Linked DNA regions of Anolis sagrei. The protein of the gene in region 3 interacts with the protein of the main gene of each other region in a pairwise test. Links are inferred from orthologs where the notes say so. Each region holds a gene or a part of one and is shown on either strand. Other genes may lie near its edges. The genes, in order: DEUP1, NR0B1 and ESRRG.

The links.
Region 1: the proteins of ESRRG (region 3) and DEUP1 interact in binary tests that used the Homo sapiens proteins (3 or more experiments, as listed by UniProt). The two-hybrid records come from large-scale screens. The link is inferred for Anolis sagrei from reciprocal best matches to the Homo sapiens genes ESRRG and DEUP1.
Region 2: the proteins of ESRRG (region 3) and NR0B1 interact in binary tests that used the Homo sapiens proteins (3 or more experiments, as listed by UniProt). The link is inferred for Anolis sagrei from reciprocal best matches to the Homo sapiens genes ESRRG and NR0B1.

Annotation. Positions count from the first base shown.
Region 1 is NC_090023.1:19,127,256-19,135,146, forward strand, and holds the start of DEUP1 (deuterosome assembly protein 1), read left to right. Parts: upstream 1-4,871; 5' UTR 4,872-4,969; intron 4,970-7,891. UniProt on the Homo sapiens protein: Key structural component of the deuterosome, a structure that promotes de novo centriole amplification in multiciliated cells.
Region 2 is NC_090023.1:83,341,085-83,349,144, reverse strand, and holds the start of NR0B1 (nuclear receptor subfamily 0 group B member 1), read right to left. Parts: upstream 3,062-8,060; 5' UTR 2,891-3,061; coding exon 2,149-2,890; intron 1-2,148. UniProt on the Homo sapiens protein: Nuclear receptor that lacks a DNA-binding domain and acts as a corepressor that inhibits the transcriptional activity of other nuclear receptors through heterodimeric interactions.
Region 3 is NC_090021.1:35,092,516-35,100,051, reverse strand, and holds the start of ESRRG (estrogen-related receptor gamma), read left to right. Parts: upstream 1-4,455; 5' UTR 4,456-4,456; coding exon 4,457-4,615; intron 4,616-5,323; exon of another isoform or gene 5,324-5,454; intron 5,455-6,491; exon of another isoform or gene 6,492-6,579; intron 6,580-7,536. UniProt on the Homo sapiens protein: Orphan receptor that acts as a transcription activator in the absence of bound ligand. Binds specifically to an estrogen response element and activates reporter genes controlled by estrogen response elements.

The DNA.
Region 1 (7,891 bases), on a different chromosome or scaffold from region 3:
GTGGAACTCTTTGCCCCGGAGTGTGGTGGAGGCTCCTTCTTTGGATGCTTTTAAGCAGAGGCTGGATGGCCATCTGTCAGGGGTGATTTGAATGCAATATTCCTGCTTCTTGGCAGGGGGTTGGACTGGATGGCCCATGAGGTCTCTTCCAACTCTTTGATTCTATGATTCTATGAATTAATACCGAATTACGAAATTAACGAATGAAACCACCCAAGCCTAGATAATAGGATTGGACTCTCTCCAATGCAGTGATGCTGTGAGATTTAAAAGATTCTCCATCCCTGCTTTGGAGTATCTCACATCTCCTGTTACTTTAGCACAGCAGTGAATCATTTGCAGAAGTGGCAAGAAGAAAGCCTGCCTTCTCCCTCCTCTACTCGAACCTTATCCCCTCCATGAAGCCCGAAAAACACTACAGAAGCTGGCTAGACCCCAAAAGTCAAACGCATTCCTAGGAGAAAGCCCCAAGAGAGAATATTTTTATGCAGGTCTCAGCTGTAAAGCCCTAATGCCGGCTCCTTGCATCCTGAAGGAGGGATGATAGCTATTAACCACCCACAGAGAGCGGAAAAGAATATTCTCAGGTCATCATTTTTTTAAAAAAAAGGGAAACATTTTGTGCCTGCTTTTCCACCAAGTTTTGTGCTTTTATGACACAGGCAAATGTTTTCTTCTTCAAAAGTGAGATTTCTCTCCCTCTCAGGCTTTCATCTACACGGCTGAAAAGAATTCCCAGTAGGCCCTTTCTGCGGTGCGGTTTCGACTTTTCTTATCTCTGCCCTCTGTTTCATTGGCCAGAATAATTCCTGAGCCACAGGGGCTTAGGAGCATTTCCTTGAAACATCTTTCGATAATGAATGCAGGTGAGAGCTTTGCCTCAACAAAGCTCCACTTTTTATCGAGAACAGGACCTTTTCTGCATTGTGCCAAGATGATATTGGCTTGGCGGGTGGTGGGGGGAGTTATAATGAGGTCTGGCGTGGTCTTTGGGTAAAAAAACGGGGCTAAAAGTCAAATAATCTCATCCTGTTTTGCCCACCGAAATATGTTTGCCGTTTTCCTCACTGCGCAATAATTTCTTGATGTGTCAATGAAGGAGCAAAACCTCACATATGAACCAATGTGAAGTTTGTTATTACCATGTGCTTTAAATTTTAATTTTAACTGTTAGTTGCAAGATTTAAACTGTTGTATCATGCTTATCCTCCCCTTTTACCCTGCTTATGTATAGTTGTATGGACCAAGGGCAAGATGAATGGATGGCATCCTTGAAGTGACTGGACTGACCTTGAAGGAGCTGGGGTGGTGACGGCCGACAGAGAGCTCTGGCGTGGCCTGGTCCATGAGGTCACGAAAAGTCGGAGACGACTGAACAAATGAACAACAACATGTATTGGTTACTTATGGCTATCAATCAGTACTGTATGGCTCCACCTCTTCCTGCAGGAGGGGAGTGCTTCCTTTCTTTTCATTCTGCCATCAGAGTTTCTACCAGATGGACGTGAGTATGAGACTTGTCTCTAAAAGACCCTGATTTAAATTACCTCTCAGCACCAGTTCTGAGGTTTTTTATCCTTGAGATTTGTGATTCATGTTCAGACCAACCTGAATGACGTTGGAAGTCTCAAGCGCCTTCAAACCGGTTCTTTTGGCACCAAAGGAAGATCCTGAGTCTTCAAACATAGGCCATTTGAACTGGGGTTGTGGTTTGCTCCGGCATTCACAGCCATTGAGGAAAGAGGAAACTTGGAAAGGCTTCTCAGCTTCAAACACCTTGGACCCAAGACTAACTGAGATTGTAACATATATTTTCCTTCAACCCTCTGAAGTTTCCAGCTCATTGCTTTAAAGAAACAACTCTGTGATCAATAAAACTTATTTTGAGTTATTTACAGCGTTTTGGGTTTTTGAAAGTTCCAGTTTCTTATAGGAGGGCAAGAAGCAATCCCCTGGGGAAAGATGCCACGTCCATGCCTCCTTCATTAAGAATTATAGCCCCCAGGCGCAACAGCACAGCACCTACGAAGGAGGCGGGACTGAGAGCAGGGTCTCTCCAGATGATCTCAGTCTCCAAGATGGTTCATAGGGGGAGATACGTTCAAACAGGTAAGCTGGGCCGGAACCATTTAGGGCAGCGTTTCTCAACCTGGGGTCCAAGACCCCTGTGGGGGTTGCGAGGGGGTGTCAAAGGGGTCATCAAAGACAATAAGAAAACACAGTATTTTCTGTTGGTCATGGGGTTTATGTGTGGCAAGTTTGGCCCAGTTCTATTGTTGGTGCTGTTCAGAATGCTCTTTGATTGTAGGTGAACTATAAATCCTCTCAGAATTTACCTCCAACACCACAGTTCAGAAGCGTCTATCTTCCTTTGCTCAGCCTTCCCTATAGTCCAGCTCTCACATCCGTAGGTGACTATGGGGAATACCATTGGTTTAACTATGCAGATCTTTGTTGCCAGTGTGATGTCTTTACTCTTCACTATTTTATCAAGATTGGTCATTGCTCTCCTCCCAAGAAGTAAGCTTCTCCTGATTTCCTGGCTGCAGTCTCCGTTTGCAGTAATCTTTGCACCTAGAAATACAAAGTTTGTCACGGCCTTGACGTTTTATCCCTCTAATTGCCAGTTGTCAATCATTCTTGTTGTCATAATCTTGGTTTTTTAAATGTTTAACTGCAACCCAAATTTTGCGCATTCTTCTTTCACCTTGATTAGAAGGCTCCTCAGTTCCTCCTTGCTTTCAGCCATCAAAGTGGTGTCATCTGCATATCCATTGGTTACTATGGAGAATACCATTGCTTTGACTATGCAGATCTTCGTTGCTAGTGTGTTGTCTTTACTCTTCACTATTTTATCGAGATTGGTCATTGCTCTCCTCCTGAGAAGTAAACGTCTTCTGTTTTCCTGTCCACAGTCTGCGTCTTTGTTGTGGCTCAGTCTGAGTCTGAACTGTCTGGGCCTTATGCTGGGCCTGCTGGGCCTTCTGAGCCTGACTTTCTGCAGGATGACGAGGAGGCTGATGGGTTTCAGATTTCTGTACATGTTCCAGACGGGGCTAATAGTGTGGCTTCTGAAGAAGAAACAGCAAGTCTGTTCTCTGGAGAAAGGAATGTGCCGTTAGAGAAAGACAGTGAAACTCCACATCTGCAGGTGGAGACTCCTTTGACTCCTTTTGGTTCCCAGGGTGATCAGACCCAGCTGGGCCAAGATAAGGAGTTGCCCAGCCTTGAAGATAATAGTGAATTAATGAGTAGACAGGATCGTTTACCATTAAGAGTTCGCAGAAGCACTCATCTTGCCAGCAAGTATGCAGCCAAAGGTCAACGCAATGCTTTCATGTCAGGAAAACTTATTTAATGGTGTAGCCGACAGGCATTTTCTGTCAGTCCAATGTTGCTCCTTCCCTGTTAACTTCTGTGGAATTACCTTGGCTTTTGCGGAACGCTTCTGGCTTTTTTGAGACTTGGATTTTGATCCTGATTTCATTTGTGTACCATGGACTTTTGTTTGACCATTGCTAAGGGATTATGCTTCATGTTATTTACCTTTGAATCTTGGAAACTTTGCCTTTGCATTTAAGACTCTGTTTTGCCTATTGAACTTTTGCGTCCTTATTTCTCTGTTTTGATTTTGCTTTTTCTCAATAAACCTACAGCCTTGGTGTGTGGTGGTGTCTTGAGCAAGGAAGAAACTACCCTGAGTTGCGACAGTCTTTCTGCCTTTATATTCTGGGATATAGGGCTGTGTGGAAGGGCCCTTAATAGGCTTGCGAGAAAGCAGGTGGGGAAATGTCAGTGCTTGTGTGTACAGATACAGAATGGAGAATGCCTGGCTTGAGAGCAGTACGTGTGAAAAAGATCTTGGAGTCCTCATGGACAACAAGTTAAACATGAGCCAACAATGTGATGTGGCGGCAAAAAAAGCCAATGGGATTTTGGCCTGCATCAATAGGAGTATAGTGTCTAGATCCAGGGAAGTAATGCTACCCCTCTATTCCGCTTTGGTTAGACCACACCTGGAATATTGTGTCCAATTCTGGGCACCACAATTGAAGAGAGATGTTGACAAGCTGGAATGTGTCCAGAGGAGGGCGACTAAAATGATCAAGGGTCTGGAGAACAAGCCCTATGAGGAACGCCTTAAGGAGCTGGGCATGTTTAGCCTGAAGAAGAGAAGGCTGAGAGGAGATATGATAGCCATGTATAAATATGTGAAAGGAAGCCACAGGGAGGAGGGAGCAAGCTTGTTTTCTGCTTCCTTGGAGACTAGGACGCGGAACAATGGCTTCAAACTACAAGAGAGGAGATTCCATCTGAACATGAGGAAGAACTTCCTGACTGTGAGAGCCGTTCAGCAGTGGAACTCTCTGCCCCGGAGCGAGGTGGAGGCTCCTTCTTTGGAAGCTTTTAAACAGAGGTTGGATGGCCATCTGTCAGGGATGATTTGAATGCAACATTCCTGCTTCTTGGCAGGGGGTTGGACTGGATGGCCCATGAGGTCTCTTCCAAGTCTTTGAGTCTATGATTCTATGATTCTATGAAAGCAGGTGGGGAAAAGTCAGTGCTTGTGTGTACAGTTAGGCATGGACTCCTTTGGGCCCTCCAGGTGCTTTGAACTTCAACTCCCACAATTCCCAAATGGCTGTTGAAGTCCAAAACACCTGGAGGGAGGGCTGTAGTGGTGGTCTGCCATGCCAATGAGTGGAGAGTTGCCTGCTAGGCTTTGCCAGCTAGGCCTCAGCGTTGCCGTGGCAACGGGAGACGCCTGTAAGCCCCGCCCCGAATTGCCGCCGTGGGAAAGGCGGGCTCGGCGGCGGGAAGCAAGCAAAGGGCAGCAGGGAGGGAGGAGGGAGGCAGGGAGGGAGGGGAGAGGCCCCTTGCCCCACGGTGGGGAAAGAGCAGAGCCGCAGGGAGCCCACGGAAGGGCCACAGGGCGGGGAAGAGAGGCCCTTCCTCGAAGCCCAGCCAGGTAACCCACCTTCCCCCCTTCTCTGCTCCAAAGAATCCCTTCCTATGCTCAGAGGCACTCTTTGCCTGTCTGTTTCCCAGTTGCAACAGACTACTGAAAGAAAGCCCCCTCTACACTGCCCTATAACCCAGGGAGGGCCCTTCCACACAGCCCTCTATCCCAGAATATCCAGGCAGAAAATCCCACAATATCTGCTTTGAACCAGATTAATCTACATTGCCATCAAATCCAGTTTCTGAATCCACATTATCTGCTTTGGACTGGATTATATGACACTATGCTGTCACATAATCCAGTTCAATGCAGATTTCTGGATTTTATATGGCAATGTAGAAGGGGCCCCAAGTCCACACTCAGATAATGTGGGATTTCCTACCTGGGATACAGGGCTGTGTGGAAGGGTCCCCAGATTATCAAAGCAGATAATCCAGTGTCTATTTTGAACTGGATTATATGACCCTACGCTGCCACATAAACCAGTTCAAAGCAGATAACATGGATTTTATGAGGCTGGATCTGCACTGCCATATCTAATCCGGATTATCTGATTTGAACTGGATTATATGGCAGTGTAGACTCAGGTCTCTTCTACACTGCCCTATAACCCAGATTATCAAATCGGATAATCCACACCAACTGATTTGGACAGGATTATCTGACTCTAGACTGCCATATAATCCAGTTCAAAGCAGATTCTGTTGTTCATTTGTTCAGTCGTCTCTGACTCTTCGTGACCTCACGGACCAGCCCACGCCAGAGCTCCCTGTCGGCCGTCACCACCCCCAGCTCCTTCAAGGTCAGTCCAGTCACTTCAAGGATACCATCCATCCATCTTGCCCTTGGTCGGCCCCTCTTCCTTTTGCCTTCCACTTTCCCCAGCATAATTGTCTTCTCTAGGCTTTCCTGTCTCCTCATGATGTGGCCAAAGTACTTCAACTTTGTCTCTAGTATCTTTCCCTCCAATGAGCAGTCGGGCTTTATTTCCTGGAGGATGGACTGGTTGGATCTTCTCGCAGTCCAAGGCACTCCAAGCAGATTCTATGAATTATGTAATTGCAGTGTAGAAGGGGCCTCATATAATCCTATTCAAAGCAGATAATGTGGATTATCTGCTTTTATAATCTGGGTTATATGGCAGTGTAGAAGGGGCCTCACTCTTCTCTCGTCCCTTCTTGTTGACGCTTAATCTACACTGCCATCAAATCCAGTTTCTGAATCCACATTATCTGCTTTGAACTGAGTTATATGACACTATATTGCCATGTAATCCAGTTCAAAGCAAGACATCTGGAATTGAGTAACTGGATTATATAGCAGTGCAGACCCAGTTTGGATTATATGAGTCTACATTACGATGTAATCCAGTTCAAAGCAAATAATCTCGACTGACGGCCCTTCCACGCAGCCATATAACCCAGAATACCAAGGTAGATAATCCACAATATCTGCTTTGAACTGGCTTATCTGAGTCCATACTGCCATATAACTCAGTTCAGTGCAGATAATGTGGGATTTTATACAGCTGTGTGGAAGGGGCCTATGAAACCGGATTATATGTGGCAGTGTAGATAAGGCCTATTTTTATATTTTCCCCTCTCCCATTATGGTAGGGAACTGAAGGAAAGGTCCCACAGCCTGTGTGAAGAGGCATTCGCGTTTTCCACTTCCTTTCTCATTGATTCGGGTCTGACACCATAACAAAATTATTTCATTTTCTCATTGACCTCTTATAAGCAGTGAAGAAAAGTTTTCTTTTTATGCTCAGAGGCACTCTTTTCCTACTTTCTTTCTCTTGGTGATGTTAACAAAGGAGAGGGCTGAAGGAAAAGCTCCTCAAACTGTACCAAGAGACATTCACATTTTCCTATTATTATTATTATTATTATTAGTATACTATTATTATACTATTTCAAACTTCCGTACAGTGGCCCTTATTTCTCATGCCAGTAAGGTAATGCTCAAGATCCTGCAAGGAAGACTCCAGCAATACGTGGAGCGAGAGTTGCCAGATGTTCAAGTTGGGTTTAGAAAAGGCAGAGGAACGAGAGACCAAATTGCCAATATCCGCTGGATAATGGAGAAAGGCAGGGAGTTTCAGAAAAACATCTACTTCTGCTTCATTGACTATTCTAAAGCCTTTGACTGTGTGGATCATAATAAATTGTGGCAAGTTCTTAGTGGGATGGGCATCCCAAGCCACCTTGTCTCTCTCCTGAGGAATCTGTACAAGGACCAAGTAGCAACAGTCAGAACTGACCACGGAACAACAGACTGGTTCAAGATTGGGAAAGGCGTACGGCAAGGCTGCATCCTCTCACCCAACCTTTTTAACTTGTATGCAGAACACATCATGCGATGTGCGGGGCTGGATGAATGCAAAGCTGGGGTGAAAATTGCTGGAAGAAACATTAACAACCTCAGATATGCAGATGACACCACTCTGATGGCCGAAAGCGAGGAAGAGCTGAGGAGCTTCTAATCAAGGTGAAAGAGGAAAGCGCAAAAGCCGGGTTGCAGCTAAACGTCAAAAAAACCAAGATTATGGCAACAAGAATGATTGACAACTGGAAAATAGAGGGAGAAACCGTGGAGGCCGTGACAGACTTTGTATTTCTAGGTACAAAGATTACTGCAGATGCAGACTGTAGCCAGGAAATCAGAAGACGCTTACTTCTTGGGAGGAGAGCAATGTCCAGTCTCGATAAAATAGTGAAGAGTAGAGACATCAGACTGGCAACAAAGATCCGCCTAGTCAAAGCCATGGTATTCCCTGTAGTCACCTACGGATGTGAGAGCTGGACCTTAGGGAAGGCTGAGCGAAGGAAGATCGATGCTTTTGAGCTGTGGTGTTGGAGGAAAGTGCTGAGAGTGCCTTGGACTGCGAGAAGATCCAACCAGTCCATCCTCCAGGAAATAAAGCCC
Region 2 (8,060 bases), on a different chromosome or scaffold from region 3:
CTTTCTCAACCCTGTAAGGGACTCAACGTGTCTTACATATATAGGCTCCAATTTAATGCCATGTAAAATATACATATATAATAAAATAAATGCATATATTAAAACAATAATTAAGAACATATCAAACCTTAAAAACACTTGATAAAATCACGTAATCAATCCTATGGAATTCTGGGAGTTGTAGTTTTACAAACCATCTCTTCCAAAGAATGCTGCTGTCTCAGCAAACTACAAATCCCAGGACCCCATTGAATCGAGCCATGGTAGCTAAAGCAGTGTCAAACTGCATTCATTCTACCATATGATACACTGGATAAGAAACCTCCAAGGACTCCAGCTCAACTCCACTCTTGCAAACTCAGAACCAGGGGAGACTTTTAATTGAATCAATCCACCTGTAACAAAGTCTTCCTACTGTTCTCCACTTGACCGAGCAGTATTGCCTTAGGTAAATCAATTAGCATCGAGCATTGATTCCGTGGCACTGAGCCATGGCAGATAAAGCAGGGTCAAGCTGCAGGAATAGCAGGACTTGCCCAGGAGCTGCCTAAGGAGCAAAAGAAAATGGTCAGATGGGGGGGGGGGGAGGAAAGGGAGGGAGAGGGGAAGAAGTAGAAAGGGAGAAAGAGCAAGGGAGGGGAGAGACAGAGAAAAGGAGTAGAGGGAAAATGTGTTGTTCAAGGCTTTCATGGCTGGAATCACTGGGTTGTTGTGAGTTTTCTGAGCGGTATGGCCATGTTCCAGAAGCATTCTCTCCTGATATTTCGCTCACATCTATGGCAAGCATCCTCAGAGGTTGTGAGATTTGTTGGGAACAAGACATGTGGGGTTCATACACCTGTGGAATAATGTCCAGGATGGGAGAACTTGTGTCTTTTTGAAGCAGGTGTGAATGCTGCAATTAATCACCTTGATTAGCACTGAAAAGCCTTGCAGCATCAAGGATTGGCTGCTTTTGGCCTGGGGAATCATTTGTTGGGAGGTGATTAGCTGGCCCTGGTTGTTTCTTGTCTGGAATTCTCCTGTTTTTGAGTGTTCCTCTTTATTTACTGTTGTGATTTTAAAGGATTTTTTAAAATGCTGGTAACCAGATCTTGTTCATCTTCATGCTTTCCTTCTTTCTGTTAAAATTGTCCACATGCTTTGCAATGCTAATCAAGGTGATCACTTGCAGCATGCACAGTTGCCTCCAACAGACAAGAGTTCTTTCTCCCGCCCTGGACATTATTCCACAGATATATAAACCCCACTTGCCTCGTTTCCAACAAACAATGCAACCTCTGAGGATGCCTGCCGTAGATGCGGGTGAAATGTCAGGAGAGAATGCTTCTGGAACATGGCCATACAGCCCAGAAAACTCACAGCAACCCAATAGAGAAATAGAAGGAAATATGAGAAGGGGAGAGGGATAAGAGAGAAGAGAGGAAGACGGGGAGAGGGAGAAAGAGCAATGGAGGGGAGAGAGGGAGAAAAGGAGTAGAGGGAAAGAGGAGAAGGAGAGGGAGAAGAGCGGAAAACTGGAGAGGGAAAAGGAGCAAGGGAGGGAAGAGAGGGAGAAAAGGGGAGAGGGAGATGAGGGGAAGGCGAAGAGAGGGAAAAAGAGTGATGGAGGGAAGGAGAAAAGGAGTAGAGGGAAAGATGAGAAGAAGTGGAGAGGAAGGAGAGGGGGAAATGAGGAGAGGGAGAAAGAGGGAGGGGAGAAAGGACGAAAAGGAATAGATGGAAAGATGAGAAGAAGGGGGGAAGAGGGAAAAGAGTTAGAGAGTGGAGGAAGGCAAAAAAAAGGCTAGAAGTAAAGATGAGAAGAAGGGAAGAGGGAGAAAAGGGGAAGGTGGGGAGAGGGAGAAAGAGCGAGGGAGAGGAGAGAGGGGGAACAGGAGTAGAGGGAAAGATGAGAAGAAGAGGAGAAGGAGAAGAGAGGAAGGTGGGAAGTGGGAGAAAGAGCAATGGAGGGGAGAGAGGAGTAGAGGTAAGGAAGAGAAGAAGGGGAGAGGGAGAGAGAGGGAGTGAGTGAGGGGACGGGAGAAGGGGAGAGAGGAAGGAGAAAGGGAGGGGGGGAAAGAGAGGGGGAAGAAGTAGGCGGAGAGGTTGGGGGAGAGAACCCTGGACCCTTCCCCAAAAGCGTGCCCCCAGGGCTGCCCCACTGACCCGGGTTGAAGAGCACGGTGCCCTTGAGGTAGGCGTACTCCTTGGTGCTGATGTCCAGGCTCCAGCACTTGGCCAGGAAGCCTTGGATGGCTTGGATCTCCCCCGCCGAGGGCAGCTGGGGGCAGCGGGGCTCTGGGTCCTGGGGCGGGAGCCGCTCTTCCTCCTCCTCGTCGTCGCCGTCGCCCTGGTGGCGGTGGTGGCGGGGCTGGGCTTGGCCGGGCTTCTCCTGGGGCTGTCCGGGGTGTTGGTGGGGGCGCGGCTGGGTGGTGAGGATGCGCTGGAGCATGCTGGGCCGGGCGCTCTCCACGGTCTCGAAGTGGACGCGGTCCTGGGCCAGGCCGAGGGCGAGGAGCGGCGCCCAGCAGCTGCGCACCAGGACCAGTTGCTCGTCGAGCGGCAGCTCCTGGAAGCAGGGCACGCTCTTGACGAAGCGCAGCGTCTTCACCAGCACCGCCGAGGCCGCCTTGCAGGCCGCCTGGGGGCTCCGCAGGGCCACGCGCCGCCCGGCCCCGCACGAGCAGCCCGCCGCCCCGGCCCCTGGCCTCGCGGGGAGCGGCAGCGGAGGGGCCGGCAGCGGAGGGGGGCCCGCCAGCGCCTCCCCGCCTTGGCCCGCCGCCTCCCCCTCGCCCTCCCCCTCTTCCTTCTGGTGCTGGCGGTGCTCCTGGCTCTTGAGGATGTTGTAGAGGATGCTGCCCTGGCGCCGGTGGTCCGTGCAGCAGCGGCAGCGGTCCAGGCACGCCATGGCCGGCAAAGAGCGGGAAAGCCGCCTCGCCCGCACGCCCGCACGCCCGCCCTCGGGGCTATTTATAGCGCGCAGGAGTTCAAAGGCGCAGACGCTGCCGACTGGCTGGAAGGAAGGGACGGGGAGGAGGAGAGAAAGAGAGAGAAAGAGAGGGAGGGAGGGAAGGAGGGAAGAAGGAGAAGAAGAAAGCCCCCCCCACCAGGACTCCACCCTCTCCCCCCCCTCCCCTCCTTCTCGGGAGAGGAGGGCGTGTTGTCGCCGTCCCTTTCCAAATGCCCTCCCGCTTCTTCCGCCCGACCGTCCCACGTCGCGCGCTTTCCGCGAAGGGCTGAACGGGAGGGAGACCCACGCCAAGTTCAAGCGGCCGGAAAGAAGGAAGGAAGCGCCCCCTCCGGCTCCCCGCCACACCAAGGCGCTTCCGCCCAACGCTGCCTTCCGTGTCGGCGCGGAGTTGGCGCTTCTTCCAAGGCTTCCTTTGCAGCCTTTCCCTCGGTTGGATGGGGTGGGCAGGCGGGAAACGAACCCCTTTCTCATCTATATAAACAACAATGTAATGTTCGTTTGTGGGATTAACAAAACTCAAACACCACTGGACGAATTGACAAAAAAAATGATTTTCTCATTTGAGAGTTGTAGTTGTTGGTTTGGTGGGCATTGACCTTGAGTTTGGGTGTTATAGTTTACCTACATCCAGAGAGCACTGTGGACTCAAACAATGATGGATCTGGACCAAACTTGGCACGAATACTCCATATGCCCAAATATGAACACAGATGGAGTTTGGAGAAAATAGACCTTGACATTTGAGAGTCGTAGCTGCTGGGATTTATAGTTCACCTACAATCAAAGAGCATTCTGAACTGCACCAGCGACAGAATTGAACCAGTCTCTCCACACAGAATCCCCATGACCAACAGAAAATACTGTGTTTTCTGATGGTTTTGGTAACCTCTCTGGCACCCCTTTATGACCTCTGCAAGGATCCCACCCCCCAGGTTGAGAAATGCTGCCTTAAGGCCATCCAGCCCAACTCCCTTCACCAGGGCAAGAAAACATAAAGCCCTCTTGACAAAGAGCCATCCAGCCATAGATATAGATAGATAGATAGATACAATTCACACACACACACACATATTTGTATATGACAGATATAGTATCATAGATTTGACAGGGACCCCTAAAGAAGGACAATTATATGTTGCATGTTCCAGAGTAGGCAAACCAGACAATCTCTACATCAACACTGACAAAGAAACAAGAATAAATACTGTTTACCCACAAGCATAAAGAAATTACACATATTAGAAACCAACACTTTCTCGTTACTTTATTTTCCAGATCACCAAACTGGGCCACAGCAATGCCTGGCAGGGGATGGCTAGTGTGTGTGTGTGTGCATGTGGACAATTTCAACAGAAAGAAGGAAACCATGAAAATGGACAGAATCTGGCAACCAGTACAGTAGAGTCTTGCTTATTCAACATAAGCAGGCCAGCAGAATATTGGATAAGCGAAAATGTTGAATAATAAGGAGGGATTAAGGGAAAGCCTATTAAACATCAAATTACGTTATGGTTTTACAAATTAAGCACCAAAACATCATGTTTTACAACAAATTGGCAGAAAAAGCAGTTCAGTACACGGTAATGTTATGTAAACATCACTGTATTTATGAATTTAGCACCAAAACATCGTAATGTATTGAAACAGCTGTGGATCCAGGCGGAAGGCAAACTGCGTTGAATAATACGGAACCTTGGATGAGTGAAGGTTGGATAAGCGAAACTCTACTGTATTAAGAAACTCTAAAATCAGAACAGTAAATAAAGAACACTAAAAAAAACCAGGGGATTCCAGACAAGAATCAATCAGGACCAGCTAACATCACCAAACAAAGAATTCCTCCAGGCAGCAATCAGCCAGGCAAAGCTACTAAATGCTAATCAAGGTGGCCAATTGCAACATTCACACTTGCCTCAAGCAGACAAGAGTTCTTTCTTCTGCCCTGGACATTCCACAGGTGTATAAACCCCACTTGTCTAGACCCCTCAACTTCTGAGATTGGCTACTATAGATGTGAGCAAAACATCAGGAGAGAATGCTTCTGGAACATGGCTATACAGACTGGAAAACTCATAGCAACCCAGCCAGCAGGCTGTTAGGAATTGTGGGAGTTCTAGTCCAAAACACCTGGAGGACTGGACTTTGTCCATGCCTGTATTACATTACACCCAAGCAGTGTCCCTTCTCCGGAATAATAATAATAATAATAATAATAATAATAAGAAGAAGAAGAAGAAGAAGAAGAAGAAGAAGAAGAAGAACAGCAGTAGCAGTAGCAATAACAATAATTTATTTATAACCCACCCTATCTTCCCAATGGGGACTCAAGGCAGTTTCCAGAAGAAAACCAGCAAACATTCCATGCCGAAAGTGATCAACAAAACAAATCAAAACAACCAATAAATAGCATCAGTATAAACTTAATATATAAACTTAAAGGACAACTTGTTGTCCAATGCTTTCATGGCTGGAATCACTGGGTTGTTGTGAGTTTTCCAGTCTGTATGGCCGTTTTCCAGGAGCATTCTCTCCTGATGTTTCACCCACATCTATGGCAGGCATCCTCAGAGGTTGCGAGGTCTGTTGGAAACTAGGCAAGTGAGGTTTCTGTATCTATTTCTCCCACCCTGGATATTCCACAGATATATAAACCCCACTTGCCTTGTTTACAAGAGACCTCACACCTCTGAGGATGCCTGCCATAGATGTGGGCGAAACATCGGGAGAGAATGCTTCTGGAACATGGCCTTACAGCCGGGAAAATTCACAGCAACCCTTAAATGACAACCAAAGGCTAGATAGAGACACACAAACCTCATTATGCACATTTACATCAAAAGGATCTAAATCATTAAAGTGCAATTGAAAGTATAAAATGATAAGTGACGTTATATAAAATAATGTGATGATGATATCAACAGTCTAACAGCGCTAAAGTGCATTGCCAGAGTCTGAAGAAGAATTGCAAAATAGTCCCAAATTTTCCATAAGGAGACCTAAACAAGTTACATTTTTGCTTTCTCGTGGTGCAATGTATACTAATATTACTACTACTAATATTAACTTTATTTATATCTCCCCAAATGGACATGCAGCAGTTTGCAACAGATATTGGCAAACATTCAGTGCTGTAAGAAGCTGAAAAAAGACAAAAAATAACCAACTTCCCAAATCCCAAAAGCAAATCCACATCTACATCAAAAATAATAACACATTATCAAAAATTAGACAGTAAACATAATAAATGTACAATTGTACTAAAATATGATATACAGTTACCATCAGACAACATGTCTAGGGGTGGGTGAAAGGATAAACAAATGGGTATGCTTAGCCTTGTTTCCCATCTTTGAAGTAACTTATTAAGCATAAGCAAGTATTCCAAAATTAGGGGGGGGGGATCCTAAATGCACAACACTTGTGTTCCCAAACATTTCAGATAAAGAATGTTTAGTGTGTACCCACTATTTCATTGATTTGAATCTGCATGTGTAGAGAAAAGATATATTTTAAGCAGAAATCCAAGTAATCAGAGTATGAAGAGCAAGAGGTGGTGCAGGATATTCCCTAACCAGGAACATAACATATTCAGTATTTCTTTCTCTTGTTATTTATTATTTGCGAGCTTTTGCTTTTTTCTGTGTTGTAAAATGGGCAACAAATGAAAGCACCCAATACACATACACCACTGATGCAGGAGACAGTTTTTGATATGTTTTTCTTTCAGACAGCAGTGAAATTGAACCATCACAATTGTACAATATTTAGTACCAGTTTATCCTTATGAAAAGGAATAACAATGTTATTTTCATTTAACCAGGTCTTTGATCAAAATGGTAACTCTGTTTCACATCTACTTTCTTGATTTACACTTTAATTGAGTGTCTCCAGAAGTCATGGAAAGACATGTTTCAATAAGAATCCATTCTTGCTTTCCAGTTGCTCTCACTTCCAATCATGGTGGCTAAATAAACCTAATGTCTGAATGTGACAAAAGTTGACACTCAGTCATGTGATCCATGAGCGAGACAGAAAAACAAACCCTAGAAGAAAACCAACATTTCTCTGGTTTGTAGGAAGAGACCAAGCTAAGTAGTGCTTGAGTGCTTCCATTGGGAGGAGCTGTCCAAGGTACTGAACACTATCCCCAAAACAGGGTCAACATTTTGAACAGTTCCTTTAAAATTTTGGCCATAATCTGGAGCAAATTATTCTTGTTTCTTGTTTCTTTTCCTACAAGGCGTGTTTCTTTTCCTACAAGCCTAAGAAGGAATCCATGTTTTGTTGTGAATGGATTTAGTGCCAACACATGAATCAGACATTATATTTGCTCAAAATTCTGCAAAACAAAGTCTCGTCTCACAATTGTACATCACTACAACTACTTTTTATTCCTCACTAGTGTAAACAGCCATAGCCGGCACTGTCCAGGTGTCATTGGGACCTCTGCTTGCCTACTTTTCCCCTTCTCCAGCTTTGAGAGGGCCTATCTCACAATGGCAACATGAGGTTTTAGCTATGAAGTTTGCTAAAAAGACAGACATGCAGAGAAGTCCAGCAGATGTGGCACTTTCCAGTTGTGAACTCTGCTAAAGGAGACATCGGGTCCTTCTACACAGGGACATAATGCAGCTCAGATCTAGCATGGAAAATGCCAGTTCTGTCACACTGAGGCCACACATGGGGGTCTTGAGTTGTCTTGGTAGTTGTCTTTGGTATGGCTGGCCAGATAGCCAACCATACCAAAGTCAGGCTCCACCCACCTGCACTCTCTCCAGCTCTCCCTGGGTTCCTTTGGCTTGAGTTTAGAACCAGAAAAAAGGCTGCTACCATGCAGTAGGCATTTTACAAACTTGTATAGGGGAAAAATAGGGGTGCGTAGGGCAAGAAAGGCTGCCATCTCACCCTTTGACTGCCTTAACCCAGGGAGCATAGGACTCAGGATGACTGTTCCCACTACCCCAATACGAGTGAAGATATAAATCCTGGAGCAGGATTGGGATCTTTCCCCATTTTTTTAAAATCCAGGGTTCAGCCTCTTTAAGCGGCTTACCACTTAAATCTCAGACTGTATGTGTAGTCGAGAAGCATGAAAGCTAATGTGAAT
Region 3 (7,536 bases):
TTCCCTACCATCAGGGTCTGTCCTCTGCCTTCCCACGTTTCCCCGCTGTCCCCCACTTCCTCTTCGACTCAAGTGCATTTTTTGAACTAGTTGGGTCAGCATGTTGCAAGGGTACTTCCGTTGGGGCTCCATGCGGGCAGTGGAACCCCAGAGTCCCGCCAGAAGTAGCTCCAGGGGACTCCATGCCAGCAGCACAGAGAAGCAGGGAGAAGATGCTTCTCTGCCTTCATTTGATAAGGTTGTATATGTCAGTTTTACCATTGCACAGTACAGGTGATTTTTCTTTTTGTCAATATTTGTTGCAGCTAAGTATTCAAAGTTGAAAACCACATCCTTTATGCCTTAAAAAAGAGCTGCCTCTAAGTTGTTTTTGAATTTGTATCATGTTTTAATGTTAGATATGCAGTGGTTGATTGCTTATGTTATTTCTTAATTTTGGTTTATCTGTCATTATTTTAATTTTATTATCATTATGAATTTTCTTTTGGGATCTGAGGGATTATTTATTTCTCTTTGTTAGTGTATTCTGCCATTGACTGTTTGCCATTTTTGTTGGAAACTGTCCTGAGTCCCTTTGGGGAGATAGGGCAGTATACAAAGTTGTTGTTGTTGTTGTTGTTGTTAAACATACCAGTAATATCAGACAGTTTGAAAAGGATATAGAAGGAAGACTCTTTCCTTCAGTGCATGGACAATCTCACTACTACGGCTGCCCTATTCAGTGATTCATCGCGCTCTGACTGCTTGTTAAACACGAGACATGAAAAGAATAAAAAAGTAAGATGTTACAAAAATGCTTTTATTAGAGTTACATTCTTGGTCAAAAAAGCAGGTTAGATGACACAGGGCTTAATATGTGGAACTGGAAGATGAAGGCGGGTGAAATTTGTTCTGGTGTGATCCCACTGTGGCTGGGTTACTGAAAAATGGGGATAATGTGTTTGTATGCAGTTAAAAAACATGTCCTGTAAATCTTTTTCAGTTGCCCATTCCCTGGATGTCGCAATAGATTAAGTCACTATGTGATGATATGACACCGCCATCACTCGTCTTGCTGGGATATTGCTAGAGGCAACAACAAACCTGTGCCTTTGCACATGTGCAAAAAAAAAATTAGCGCTTCAGGGGTTAAATTGCACAGGCTCCCCTGTGGATCAGCTTATGCTTGCACAGTAATAATAGCAATAACATTAATAACAAAAAAAAAATGCCTGAGAAAAGTGAATTGATAGGGAGAGAAAGATGGGCCATGGTGTTTAGAGGAAACTAAAACCTAGAAGGCTACAAATGATGGGTTTTGTATGGCAGGTGTATCAACCAGACGTCCGATTTCATAGGTCTGCTGAAAATGCACCTACACAAATGCACATTACTTTAGCTTTTGAGATGCTTAGTGCCTTTGAATGTGTGTGTGTGTGCGCGCTTGTGTGTCTGTGAGTGCTGTCGCTTCAGGCCATGATATCCTAGGGCAGTGTAACAAGCAATTCGTGTCAGCTCACAGTAAAGATTATTGGTGTTTTCACTGGGGAAATATTTGCACTCCATCTTCTTTTCTATTTTTAGTGCCCTGAGCTTCCAGTTAGGTAGGAAGCTGGGGAGAGACAGGAGGTGAGGAAAAGAGCCATCTGATCTTGTCCCATAGTTGGTGAGATATCCTAATTTGATTTTAGGGTGGATGATTATACTGGCTTTTAAAAAATCCTTTCCACAAAGTGGCTTTTAAAAAGAAAGAAAGACCCAAACAACTTCTTTCACATTAAACAGATTTCTCTCAATCTCTTTGAAAATATTATGTAGGGAACTAGAAGAAAAAGTGGCTAAAACAAAATACGTGGCCTCATTGTCCCAATAAAGAGTAGCAATTTATTGTGAGGGAAAGAAAGCAATATGAATTGCTTTTCTTTCGTACTGTTGTTTATCATAATAATCTTTTTGTGCTTTCTGTACGAATATTTTAGATGCGATTATCATAACATCAGTGACCGAGATTGTCCAAAATGCAATGCTGACCTTGAGTGTACTTTATCATTTAGCATTTGGTGACTTAACATTCAGGAAACAACACACCTTCAACTCTCTTATTAATGTATAATCTGAAAAATGTGCTCTGTGATACATGTCATGCAGATTCTCGAAATCTTTCACTATCCGATGGAACAGCATGTGGTATTTTACTAGTGTAAATATGTAGAAGATTTTTCAAGATTTCTACAGGGGATACTCCATAACCAAAGTAAGCTTTCCCCTTGGCACTCCACTAGTTTATGATTTAATTTTTACTGACATTCCGCCAGTCGTATTATTATCTCCGCAAAATGAAAGTGAAATAATCCTGTATTAATTAAACAGAGTGACTGAATTCCCTCAGTCATCTTTGCCTTCGTTTTCTAAGACAGTAACACCGTGGGGTTCTCTAAGGAAACATGTGTTAGGAAAAGAGTCCGCTATGGGTTATACATCAGTTTTAGAAAAAGAAAAGGGGAAAAAAAAACTAAGATAGTACTTGTAAGTGTCTACTGATGTTCTTGAAAAGAGAATTTAAATCAGCAAGCAAAATGTCGCTTTACAGAATGGTATAGTTTATCAGTTTCTAATACATCCCTAGTACTAATTTAAATAGAAATTGTCTGAAGAATTACGGATGCAGAATACCTGTTGTGGTGGATCTATCATATAGCAATGATAGGATAAAATTATTGGTATGATGTTTTACTTGGAAAAAAGAACTTTTGCATATATTTACCTAGAAATAAAGGGAGATGAAGTGTGTGCATGTGCACTCTCACACATGCATAGGCACGCACATGTATGCTTATCTGCAGCTTGTATTTAAAAGCATATTCTAACATTGCGCCTTGTCTAAAATCTAGGCAGGGTGGTCATTATTTCTGCTAAATATAAATGAAAGCAGCAGATGGGCTCTAAAGTAGTAATCTACTACCATTTGCTCAAGTGTACATAAGCGTGCAAAGAAATTCAGAGAGTGAGCTTGTCACTTTCTGTGCGTGTGGAGGGAATTTTATTGGAGCCAGGGATGTGCCGAGCTTTCTGAGGAAAAGTAGAAAAGACAAACAGCAAACATGTATGAGTCTTAATGGCTTCTTAGGATATTTGTTTTCAATTAAGAGAGTTTGGAATTGGTGTATTTGCAAAGACAGGCCCTTGGAAGTCAACCCTTCGCTTCCCAATTCTTTAAATCCTGTATTCTCTGGCATTTTTCTGTCCAGGTACTATGGTATATCTAAACAAATCTATTACTTTGGTCCTTTTACAATGAACGTCAGACAATACAAGGTGAATTACAAAAAATTGCAGCACTTAATTCAAACTCAATTGAAAAGGTGATAGGATTTGTTGGCACTGAAGGGATACATGTTTTTGAGGGGCAGACTGCTAGGGATGGTATGAATGGGATTTGGGTGTGTGTATGGTTTTAACAGCAATCGTATTTTAGTGTTCATGCTTCATGACACCAAGATTTAATTGTTTGTTAGTTTTATATTCATATTTACATCCATTTTTTGTTTTTAATTTGTATTGTATCACGTTTGCTGTTAGCTGCCTTGAGTGCCTGTATGGGGAGGAAGGCAGGAGAAAAATAAATAAATAAACACAGGAGAGGACATGATGATTTTTAAATAACTTGGCGTACAACTGAGCAAGTGCCTAGTAACCTCATAGTAGACCCAAGCCCCCCTTTGTATTTTTCTTCCGTGGTCTTTTTCTGCACTTGGCACAATTAATTGTACTGCTTCTGCAAAGTGCCATTGAATCTTTACTTCAGTAGCCTTGAGGTAGCTGTGGCTTCAGAATCGGGCAATTTGGACGCAATGAGCTGTCTGTAGCACTTAAGTGTGAGGGTGCTTAAAGATATACAGTACTCTGCATGGGGATAATTATCCGCAGAAATATGCAGAGGAGATGTGAAGATGTAGACACTGTTCAAGAGCACTCACTGCCTGGTGCAAATACTCAGGACAGCGTCTCTCACCCTCCTAGCTCTGATTTTCACTATCGCTTTGTGCCGACTCCATGAGGTGAGTTTATACACAGCAGCATTTGACTTAGCAAGGGTATGTGTGTGTGTGTGTGTTAGCAAAAGAGAATACTCCTTGTATTTTTGATAATGTGAAAATTGTGGGTTTGCCTTGTTTATATTTTCACGAGTCTTCCTGTTCAATAGTACATGAAACGTAACAAGCAGTTTTCAGATGAACAAGGATGGTAATAATACTGTGATGTTTCTCCTTTTGTTAAAAAACTGGCATGAGAAGTTCAAAAACACAGTTGAAATTTCAAGCCCAGGTCTACTGGAGGTGACATTTTGAATCCCAGGGGGGAAGGCCAACTGCCTTTCATGAATGCATAAATTATAATACTACGGCTGTGGTCTTCTAAGCAGCATCAGCAGAGACAGATGCTTCCAAGGTGCCTGGTAGAAAGATAGCAATAGTTAATGTCGTGTTGGAGGGGGGAGCATAAGATGACATGGACAGGAAAGAGGACAGCAGGAATTCAGTGGAGCAGCGTAATAGATGGGAAAGCAGAGCAGAAGAGCAGACAGTCGTCCAAAGAATGTCCACAGCTAACTACAATGATCGTAAGACAATATGAGGTAATTTTTAAATAATTTTCTAATAGTTTAATATTATATATTCTCTGTTTATATTGTTATCTAGGCTTTAGACTAGGAAGCCTGGACAAAAGTATGCTTTCAGGAAACTTTCAATTGAATGTGATTTATTAGGTGCGAAGATAGATGGATGAATAGATGAATTCAAAGAGTATACTCAATGGGTATACGAATATGCTTCAATATTGTTATATCCAGACTTTGGATATAAATGATATATAAGTTATATGGAAATTAAGCACATCTGCTACAAACAGTTCTTATTAATTGAAATATTTGTAGGAAGGTATGTTAGATTCTGACACTATTAGAATACATGCTTAATCTTTTCCCTCAGCTTGTTTAGTGAATCCGAAGAATGGTTGGATAGGATGCATGTCAGATTGCTTTTAATCCACCATTCAGAACTAAAATTTACATCTTAATTAGAGGCTACATTTACCAGTATAGGCAGAATAATGTTACTGGTAATTAAGCTTTTGCCACCTGGTTTTCTCTGGTGATGAGATCAACTTCTGCGGTGTGTATTTGTATCCCTAAGAATGTGCATATTTGTCTGCATAGAAGCAGCAGACTCGCAACTGTTCGTGGGATAAATGTATTAAATGCTAGAAGTTGCTCAGGAAAGCAAAGAAGCACAAACATGTCTACTGCACATACATATATTTGTCTTCCATTCTGTCATCTTACTTTGGTGAAAGCTTTCAAATAGACTTGGAGACAGCTGTTGTATTCCCGTTTGTGAATGGCATTAATGCATTCTGAAGGTGAGCACTGATTTGTTTTGATCTGAACGATGATGCCATTTGTATCACGGAGTGCTTCACTCAGGAGAAAAAACATACAAACTGCTGAATTAGTGAAAAAGTGGTTTTTAAAAAAAATTGTAATAATTATTGCATTCTTGTATATAGCACTATTTTCAGTGGCACAGGGTATGATAATAATAATAATAATAATAATAATGTAAATAATAATTATTATACACTTATTATATTTCACAAATAGGTGAAATAAACATAGGTTGCTTTATAATAAAGTTGTACCCTACTTTATTTTTGCAGTTTTTCAAAAAATGTCTGTTGTTAGTCTGGAGACTGGCATCCATGTATTAAGTGTGTTTGTATTAAGTGAAGCAGGTCAGTAGCTTTAACATGCAGGAGCCAGAGGTGGAGTATTTGTGGGTTGTTTCTGTTGTTTGCATTCAAGTCATTTCTGACTTACAGCAACCCTAAGATGAACTTGTAGTATAATTTTCTTCAAAAGATTCATTTAGAGGGGATTTTGCCATGGCCTCCCTCTGAGGTTATGAGAGTGTGACTTGCCCCAGTGAGTTCCATGGCTGAACAAGGATCTGAACCTTGGGTAAAGGGTTAGATAATTTTCCATAGTAAAGGTAGAAGTTCCCCTTGACATTAAGTCTAGTCTGGGTGGTGGTGCTCATCTCCATTTCTAAGCTGAAGAGCCGGTGTTGTCCGTAGACGCCTCAAAGGTCATGTGGCCAGCATGACTGCATGGAGTGCTGTTACCTTCCCGCAGAAGCAGTACCTATTGATCTACACACATTTGAATGTTTTCAAAGTGCTAGGTTGGCAGAAGCTGGCGCTAACAGCAGTAGCTCACTCCCACTCCCAGATTTGAACTGCTGACCTTTCAGTCAGCAAGTTCGGCATCTCAGCGGTTTAACCCGCTGCACCACCAGCGGCTCTGAAGAGATACTTCAGAGATTTTAAAAAAATATTTATGTACCAAATACAAGCCAACATATTTAAAGATTTAAATGGGATATAGCCCAATCCAATGTATCTCTATTTGGAAATGACTTCATTGGGACCAATATCCAAATTATTGTACATACCTTTGGCTCCTTTGCACTGCCGAACAGTTCAGTTTGCTGGACGGTCCCACAGTGTTATTTTGGAGAAACGCCTTTGAACTGTATAAAACTTGCATTCAGATAATAATAGTTAATACTGGTAACACTGATCAACAAAGTTTCTCTTGCTTATTCCTTTTTTGGAGACGCAAATAAAACAGACCAATATTAACAGGCATCATCCTGTTTGCCTTTAGGCATCCTCATAGGTTTGCAAACAGGCATGCGGCCCCTTTTCAGCATAAACATGGTCAAAGTGCACAGCCTTTTCTTTCCAGCTCCCGAGCATGTTTCTCTCTCTCTCTCAGAGTGATGCAAAGACAAACACTGGCAGCCTTGCATGTTTACAAAACTTGGAAGTGCAGAAGCTCAGCAGAAAGCAAGCCCCCATTCCACCCGTACTCTGCTCAGATCTTTAGAAATGGGAAAGAGAAATGAAGTATGAACAGTTCCATCCTAGCCATGTTTCACTCAAGATGCTGAGGATTTCCTCCCACATGCAGGTTCCCCAGTGCATTTAGACTAAGCATGGGCAAACTTTGGCCCTCCAGGTTTTTTTTACTTCAACTCCTACAATTATTATTATTATTATTATTAACTTTATTTGTACCCCGCTAGCATCTCCCGAAGGACTCGATGCGGTTTACACAGGCCGAAGCCTCAAAACAACAATACAATAGAGAGCATAACATCACAATAGCAAGCAAATCAGCAATAAACAAAATAGCATAACACCACAATAACTAAGCAAATCAAACAATAAGCAAAATAACCACAATAGCAGTACATCAAGACATTATTAAAACTGGTTCGGCCGGCGCACTGGGGTACAAGGGTTAAAAGTGCTGAAATGGCAGGAGGCACGTGGGATTAAAAGTGCAGTGTGCAGCGACAATTAGTTATGCTAAGGTGCTACTAGGACTTGGGGTGGGGATTCCTAGTCTGAGAAGGCACAACGGAACAGCCAAGTTTTTAAATTCCTTCTGAAAACGGCTAGAGTGGGGGCCTGTCTGAGATCTTTTGGGAG